2 linked regions of the Tribolium castaneum genome follow. The protein of the gene in region 1 interacts with the protein of each later gene in a pairwise test. Links are inferred from orthologs where the notes say so. Each region holds a gene or a part of one and is shown on either strand. Other genes may lie near its edges. The genes, in order: Efhc1.2 and Edc3.

Region 1 (4,277 bases):
AACTAGACTCACTTCCGGTTCCGGGGCTTTTAGTTCCATGGCATCCACGTCGTCGCTCAACTTGATCGGGAATTTATTGGGGAGGACCATCATTGAGGCCACGGTCTCCACCACGATGCGCCGCAAGATGTCGCTCAAGCCGGGCATGTCGAGCAAGTCGGCGATGCCGATAAGGTCGAAGTCTATATCGGGGTTGTTGAGGAAGAAGACTTGGAGGCCACCCACCAGCGGTATTGTGGTGATCAGGGGCTTCATCACAACGCGGAGCATGCCGTGGAGCTGGAAATCGCGGATTCCGCCCTTGATCCCGGCCAAGTAGAACGTAATGTCGCAATCGCCGGCATAACTATGAGAAAATATAAAGTTGAACTGTGGTCTTAGAACTTACAAAATGTCCAAATCCATGATAATTTCGTTCCTGGCTACATTTTTATCGTATACTTTAACACCCCCGATTCGGAACGGCTGAAAAAACCATTGAATCACGAGAAACAAGTGGCAATCAATTTACCACGGTGCCTAGGATAATGCGTTCAAATTTGAAACCGGACAGTTTATACGTTTCTAGGCTTTCTTTCAAAATTGGTTGGATGGTGTCCCTGATTAAGTCGCGTGTGTAGTGGTTAATGTTAGGCCAAACCTGTTTAATAATCTGGAAATTTGGGATTAGGCGAAGGTTCTACTTGTGGGAGTTTTACTCACTCTGTTGAGCCACTCGGCTCTTTCAACGTCAGGGAAAAACACCTAAAAATAGATTCTGTGGTCAACACTGTTGCAAACAGTTCCCTTATCTCAGTAATAATTTAACAATAAATGAGTCAGAAGTGACCTCACATACCCAGGCTGGAAGATCATCAAGTCTCGCCAAAACAACGTCTTTTTCGCTCGCTAAAGCTGCCGCTTTTGCTATGTTGCGTTTCCTGTCGCTGGCTTTTTTCCATTGGTCTCTGATCACGAAAAGGACAATGGGGCCAATGAACCACGCGACCGACCATTGCATGTAACCCGCAAAGTACACAATGCCGACAATGGAGGCCTAGAATTAGGTCAGTTTGTGTGAGGTCTTCGCCCCTCGAAAATTACCTTTTTGACTGCGCTGAAAATAACGCTCAAGATGCTGGAGCCCTCGGAGCGTTTCTCCATGGCTTGACTCCCGTCTTTACTCACACTCATCTCTAAAACTCAATATTTTTAAAAGTGGAGACAAAAATAGCATACTTGCTTCCAAGGAAATGGAGAGCTACTAAAGGGTTATCTTTGAAGCATTTCAATTTGTTGTGAGATTACAACCGCCCCGCCTCGTGTTGTTCAATATGACATCACAAACTATATTTACAACATTACAAAATCGGTAAAAGTTGCTCGCACTCACCTTGGCCCAGCTGATTGTATAACTGGTTGTCTACCACGAAACGTCAGTTAAGCCCAGGACCGGCTTTGATTTATTTACGTCTCTATGACAACCAGTTTCCGTCAAATTCACGACACGATGGCTTTGCGGTGCCCCGATTTGCCCTTTTTGCCGGGCTATACCTTCAACCCAATGGTAAAAACCCCATACCCGTACCATGATTACCTCCGAACTCACATTTCAGCTGGGAAAAACCAAATTTAATATGGACCCCAAATTCGATTTTATCGGTGATGGGGTCCCAGCATTGGTCGAGAAAGTCAGACCGAATATGTTCGGGCCACTTTCCGATAAATACCCCTCTTTGTACCCCAGGGGCGAAGTTCTGGAACTCCCCTCCTGGATCGCGTTTGACAAACAAGTAAATCGGTGCGTCGGATGTTGACGCTTGCTAATTTCCGTTCTGTAGATCTTGTGCTTCGACGCGTTTTTTAAGGAGACGTTGCAGGAGGTACGTGGTGCCCCCTTTTCACTGCGACGGGTCAAAATTTATTTTTTCCTCGAAGATGGGACGATTCAGGTGATTGAGCCCAAAGTTGAAAATAGCGGGATTGCGCAAGGTTGCTTATAAGTTGTAAAATTTGAGAGGAAAATGTTTATTGTTAGGGACTCTAATTTGTCGGCACCGAATCCGGTTTCCGGCCCCCATGGATGATAATTTTTACGAAGTTGTTGATTTAAATGTTGGCAAAGAGGTCGAATTCTATGGCCGGGTTTTTAAAATCACCGATTGTGATAAATTCACTCGGAATTTTCTTAATCGGTGTGGGATTCACGTCCCGGATTCATTAAACATTCCCGGGGATCCTTTCTTGGAGTTGCGTAATCAAGAAAATGCCAGGATTAAAAAACGAGGGAAAAAGAAAGACGATTCCCTTGGGAAGTTTCTGGAAAATGACCGGAAAGTGTTACGTTTTTATGGCTATTGGGACGATCAGGAGACAGTCTTTGGGTATTTGCACCGTCTGGAAATTTTATATTACCTAGCAGACGATACGATTGAAATCCGGGAAGTTTCGACCGAGGATTGTAACAAGAAAACCACTTTTATTTTTTTGCATAGAGACAAAATTCCTAAAACTTACAAAGAACTGCCAATGCCGGGCGCCAACTGCGCTAGCACCGTTTTAAATGTTTTAGGGCCGGGGTTGCAAGGGGGGCGCTTTATCAAAGACCCCTTGTCGTGTGGGGTCGAGGTCACGGAGTACTACTGCGAAAAGGATCTGTTTATTGGAAGTGTGATTAATTGTTACGGGAGGAAGTTGGTACTCACTGACTGTGACCCCTATACCCGGGAGTACTACAGAAGTATGTACGGTTTGAACAGTTTAGACGCCATAGCTTTCCCTGAGGACAAGCACGCGGGGGTTAAAGTCGAGCAAAAGGAGCGCGAGTTGCCCCCTTGGAACGGCTACGGTTCTTATGAGGACTCGGCCCAGAATTGTATCACAGTGGAGCCCAAGGCGCCCCATCGAGACTTCAAAAAATTCCTCAACTTGGATCGAATCGGGATCGACAGTCACATTTTACGATTCGAGGCCCGAATGTTGTCGAAAATACCCGAGAACTGTACTCGGCATTTTGTCATAAGTTACTACTTGGCTGACGACACGATTGCTGTGTTTGAGCGCGGGATTAGAAATTCGGGTATGGGCGTGGCGTGAAGATAACGGGGCGCGGCTTACTCACGTATTGTAGGTTTTGATACGAAGGAGTTCTTCGCGCGGAGGTCCGTCGCTCTACCCAATCAAGGGGTCTATACAAGTAAACCGCCAATCACGTACAAGTCCCAAGACATGTATGTGGGGGCTACTTTGATTATTAACAGTTTTAAATTCGTACTGATAGACGCAGACGAGTATGCGCTCAGATATATGGAAATTCACGATCATCAGGTGATGCGTTGGTTTAGGTTTAGTCGGTTGTAAATGTGGCTTTTAGTACCCGAAAGCGAACATTAAAGTTATAATGGGGAAAATTCGCGAAAAGCTGAGACCGACTTACAAGGATTTTGTTGCGGAAAATATGCCGAAAGAGAGTACAACCATTCCTTATGATACTCTCAAGTAAATAAAATTTTGTTTGGTAGAAAATAAGTGGAGGGTTTTAGGGCAAAATTATTGGGGATTTTGGGCGACGATTTCACCGAACATGAAATGATCACAATCGCTCGGGCTTTTCCCGGCGATGTCGACTTAACCGAAAAGTATGATCGTGAAAAAATAAGGGCAATCACTCTGACGGAATTAAAGCGGGGGCTTTGGGACGATTTGGCCCGATTGAGGGAATATTTCTTGATGAGAGACCCCCACAAATCCGGGGTTTTACCCAGAAATGAGTGCTACATTGTATTACGGGCCTGCAGACTGCCTTTGGAGAAAGAACTCGTCGACAAAATTTTGCAAGTGTGAGTATATCTCGCGCAATTTCTTCGGTATTTGATGGTTTTTAACAGAATACAGAAAGATAACGAAGGTAATCTCTGCTACGAGGATATTTTGAATTTCGTCAATCGGGATATTTGTAAATTACCAGACGTTGAACCCATTAGTTTGAAAGTGAGGTTTCGATAAAAAATTGTTTTTTGTATATTTACGAATTTTGCAGCATGAGTTGAGTTGCATCAAAGTGATCGAGTACGAAAAGTATAAGTTGATCAACTGGTGCGAATTCAACAAATTTTTGGACTTGGAAGACACTTTCAAGGAGCAACCAGTGAATAACACGATTGAGCGACTCCAAAAAAATAAATAAATAAAACACTGCCCTTGTGAAACTTTTGTCGTGTGTTTTTGTTGTTGTGTAAAAGTTTACATATCGGTGTGTTTGTCTTGCATGTAATTATTATGACGTAGTTTTTGATAAA
Region 2 (4,418 bases), on another chromosome or scaffold:
CCCTGTGGAACGATTTTCCCGACTTTGGGAAACTCCTTCTGGGCTATTTTTACACAGAGTGCCCCTATTTGGTACCATTTTACATCCCAAAAACAGAGGAACAAACAACCGAAGAGTACTACCAAGTCCTGGGTTACCACTACATTGACGGGCAGATCGAAAAACAGGACAAATTTCTCAAACGAATGACTGGAATCTTGCGACTGTATTTTGCCATTTTCATTGCCAAGCCAAAGCGGGGACAGACAAAAAACCCCTACGACATTACAAACGCGTGGATTTTTTTGGCCTCAATCCTAAAATTAAAACCACAGCTGGACATCACAGCAACCGTTTTGCACGTTTTCCTCGAAACTGTTGGTTTTGAGATGGAACTGGTCTACGGAATGGCCTTCAAGAAATTGGTTGTGATTATCATGGAGAAGTTCATGCCGACGTTGAAGAAAATTGATTCGGGGGGGCCCGTGACGAGGCTAGAGGTGCTGCTGCAAGACTATAAAAGCAAGGGGCACTTTGAAACGCCCAATGGGATTTTACCCAACAATTTCTGGTAATTTATTGTGTATATACAAGGAGAAATAAACTTTTATTAATTTACTGGTCCTGGTTTTTAATTAGTAACCTCCGATCGGGCTCGTTTTCTAACCCTAACTCTACTCTGTATACGACCCAGTTGTTGTCATGTTTACTGGCCCAGAAATATACTCGCCCTTTCTGCTTGGGCCCCCTTATGGGGACTTCGTAATGGGCGGAATTCTCGCTCGTGAAGTTCGTTTCCGTGTCGTCTAGGTCGATTTTTCCGTCTTTGATTGGCTCGCCGAGGAGGTGCACTGCCCCTCGGTTGGTTCGCACAGTCCTTAAGGCTTCTTTGTAATAAACGGTGCCTTTAATGTTTTGCTCAATCTTATTTCGGTATAATAAGCCCATCGTGACCGTCGCTATGCCCCCCACAGCCCCGATTTTCACCAAAGTCATGATATTACTCATTTCTGGAAAAACGGTTAAGGTTATGGTCGTTTCAGTGGTTGATTTTTCTACCTGATTACGACGAAAATTAACTGGGGCTTTCAGATTTGTAATTAGTACGGGCTTGAAGCACCGGGAGACCGGGGTTAGGAACGAGTCCGGCCCTGCATTCTCATTTTGTAGAAGCATAAAAAGTGTCGAAATTTTGCAACTTCTTTCGAGTTTATTTTGCCAATTTTTGCGCTACTTAAGGCCTATTTTGCGGTTTAAAATTTTATAAAATATTTCGGTTGTACGGTATTTCTAACTAACGGACGTTGGAAAGAGATAGTTGATGCGACTCAGCGTTGGGCAGAGAGAGACGGCGCGAATTTATTTTTAGAAAAGGTGAAACGTGCGAGAGAGAAAGCTGTATCGAAAAGTGTGTCGCAAGAGATGGTTGTTGGGTGCTGTTAATTTGTTGTGGGTTCATTGTTGTAAATATTTCTTCTTGTTTTGTGCTAATTATTGGTTCTACATCACGTATTTAATAATTTGTTGGGAAGTTGAGGTCGACTGATAAATCTGCTGCGCAGTGTTACCTAACCTCATTTTATAAATTATACAAATTATCTGCTCTCGGTTGTGCTATTGATATTTGTAAAGAAAATGGCACAGTGGGTAGGATACATGGTCTCAATTAAGTGCGCCGATGATACCGCTTATCAAGGTGAAATTAGCGCAGCTACGACTTCTCAGATTGCTCTAACTAAGGCTTTCTGCAACGGCATTCCCTGTCCTTCGAACGAAGTGACCATTAGGTAACCCAGTCTCTCCAACACCTCGAATTTGAGCATCGCATTTTAGGGCAAACGAAATCGAAGAGTTGAAATTAATTGACAAGCACTTAAGCTCACCTCCACAGAGAAGCACAATAACCATCGCCAAGCCAATCGCGAAGCGCGCTGGACGAACGCAGAGCACCTCAGATGTCGCCAATGCAGCATCCAAACATACAAATTTAAACGGATCTCACAGCAAATCAAAACCCATTGATATCGAACCCAAAACCACGAACTATAGTTTTAACGAATCCAGTTCATTCAAAAACGGAACCCCAGTCAGGCGAGAAAAGTCAAAAGGCAAGTGGTCCAAAGGCTGGAAGGACGAGGAGTGTTTCGGCTCGCCTTTGGACCACAAAATCAACAAAGACTTCGATTTTGAGAAAAATTTGGCGCTTTTTGATAAACAAGCCATCTGGGACGAGATTAACAACTCCCAGAAACCGGACGTTATTAAGAATGCCGACAGCAAGAAGCCGGCGAAATACAGGTTTGGCGAAAAATAGCGTGGCACAGTCACAGGGTTTGTTCCAGGCATGATGAAAATGTTATTGCAAGCACTCCAGCATCGTATAGGCAGATAATAGTGCCTAAGCAAGACTTTTGCGAGTATGTGACGGATGATGGGCTGATTATACCGAGCATTTCGAGGTCTTTGCGAAAGAAACTGTGGGAAGTGGCTGATAGAGTGGGGCTCACGTGGGATAAGAGGGTGGAGCTGTTTGGGAGGGCAGCTGCCGAAATTTCGGTACAGTTATTGGGGGGCGGGCATAGGTTGAATCCTCACAACTCGCACCAGTTTCCCACTGTTGTAGTGCTGTGTGGGCCGCACAAGTAAGTTTGTTTAATTTTCCGAGCTCATTTGAAGGCAGTGAGCTTGGTAAAAATCATAATTCTCCACGTTTAAATAAGAAGCGGTATTAGAAACATTAAAACAAGGGCAACAGACTTTTTTTTTGGTAATATTTTAAGCCTTTTTTTAATATCTGAATCCTAGACGTTTCCGATAGCAACGTGTTTTCACTATTTTAAAACACGCTCCCCATAGCAACGTGTTTTTCATTAAAATGTTCCAACAAAAAAAAAGTTGAATAATATTTATGCGAAAATGCTTAAAGTTCTCGAGTGTCCAGGTATGTCACTCGTATACGCTCGTTGTATGACAGTCCTCGGACTTTAAGCTTGTGTTTTCGTACTCATATTGTTAATAACTATATTGCACAAAACACTGATAACAATAAAAATTCTCTACTTTCGTTTAGAATTCTTTAAGATTATTCTGATTCTTTCCTAAAGCTGTTCTGCATCTGAAATCTCTGGATTCTTGTTTAGATATTTTTATCATTTTTTAAAGCTAGTCAGCGTGTACTCTTAAATTTTCCGGCATACAATTGAGTCGTTTACCAATAAAAAAATTATTTTTTTTTAAGAATATTTTAAGTAGCATGATTTAAATCTGAATTCGTACAATACTTGTTAGGTTAGTTGTAAATAGACCATTCAACCTTATAACTGTTTATTGACTAATATCCCGGAGCATTGAGGGTGCGTCCAGGCCCCTTCTGCGACATAACCTAACTAACTCACTCTGCCAAAAAACCCCCCTCCAACTCCCGTGTCGCCCACGTGAGAGTTGCCAACCTAACATCCCCCCTTTTAAATACAAAACTAAGCTAAATATGAAACTAACTACCTGAGGTATCAAAATATACATATTTCAATAACAATAATAATCTTGGTATCTTTTGGGTCTTCTGATTGGTCTTTTCTTTGGTTCCTCTGATTCGTCTGGTTGTTCTGGGTCATGTTCGGGTTCATTATTTCTGTCTGGTAAGGGCTGAAGATGTCTTCGATTTCGTCTGACGCAACCGCCGTCAGTCTCGATCAAATATGACCTTGGTTCTTCACATCTGCGTTGTACTTCTCCCTCCTTTTGCATATTTATGATCCATACGCGATCACCTTCTTTTAGATTTTTCTCTTCTTTTGTTACTCGGTGTCGTTTGTCGTAGTTGGACTTCTGTTCTGCTTGATTGTTGATTAACGTTTGTCTGACAGTGTCATGGTCGATAGTTGCAGGTTTTAACCCTGAAGGTAACCTTGGCAGTCTGTCTCGAAGGTTTCTGCCAAAGAGCAGTTGGGCAGGTGACAATCCACATTTAGTAGGTGTATTGCGGTAGGTAAGAAGTGCAAGATATGGATCTTCATTTTTCCTCAATATCGTTTTGAGCAGCTTCACAGCACTTTCGGCTTGTCCATTTGACTGTTGGTAATGGGGACTACTGGTAATTAACTTAAATCCATATTTTCTGCTGAAAGTTCTGTATTCGTGACAATCAAATTGTTTGCCATTGTCGGAGCGGACAACTTCGGGTATACCATGTCTAGCAAACATTTCTTTGAAGGTCTCGATAACAACTTTGGCTTTGGTGGTGCGAAGTTTTCTGATTTCAGGATACTTGGAATAATAGTCCTGTACCACTAAGTAAGTTGACTCATGATATTCTGCGAGGTCGGCACCAATTGTTTGCCACGGTCTAGATGGAACTTCGGATGGTAACATGGGATCTACCGTTGGTCTGCGTAGTTTGATGCAAATTTCACATTTCCCGACGACTTCTTTAAGCTCTC

Evidence for each region.
Region 2: the proteins of Efhc1.2 (region 1) and Edc3 interact in binary tests that used the Homo sapiens proteins (3 or more experiments, as listed by UniProt). The link is inferred for Tribolium castaneum from reciprocal best matches to the Homo sapiens genes EFHC2 and EDC3.

The regions. Positions count from the first base shown.
Region 1 is NC_087398.1:5,344,133-5,348,409, forward strand, and holds Efhc1.2 (EF-hand domain-containing family member C2), read left to right. Parts: upstream 1-1,405; 5' UTR 1,406-1,456; coding exon 1,457-1,546; intron 1,547-1,595; coding exon 1,596-1,772; intron 1,773-1,820; coding exon 1,821-1,971; intron 1,972-2,017; coding exon 2,018-3,058; intron 3,059-3,109; coding exon 3,110-3,306; intron 3,307-3,352; coding exon 3,353-3,477; intron 3,478-3,521; coding exon 3,522-3,818; intron 3,819-3,866; coding exon 3,867-3,969; intron 3,970-4,018; coding exon 4,019-4,165; 3' UTR 4,166-4,191; downstream 4,192-4,277. Other genes in the region: Esyt2 (extended synaptotagmin-like protein 2a), read right to left, coding at 13-346, 389-465, 512-652, 703-744, 839-1,036, 1,084-1,173. UniProt on the Homo sapiens protein: Microtubule inner protein (MIP) part of the dynein-decorated doublet microtubules (DMTs) in cilia axoneme, which is required for motile cilia beating.
Region 2 is NC_087396.1:13,257,619-13,262,036, reverse strand, and holds the start of Edc3 (enhancer of mRNA-decapping protein 3), read left to right. Parts: upstream 1-1,382; 5' UTR 1,383-1,614; coding exon 1,615-1,766; intron 1,767-1,812; coding exon 1,813-2,277; intron 2,278-2,321; coding exon 2,322-2,621; intron 2,622-4,418. Other genes in the region: mRNA export factor Gle1, read left to right, coding at 1-554. UniProt on the Homo sapiens protein: Binds single-stranded RNA. Involved in the process of mRNA degradation and in the positive regulation of mRNA decapping. May play a role in spermiogenesis and oogenesis.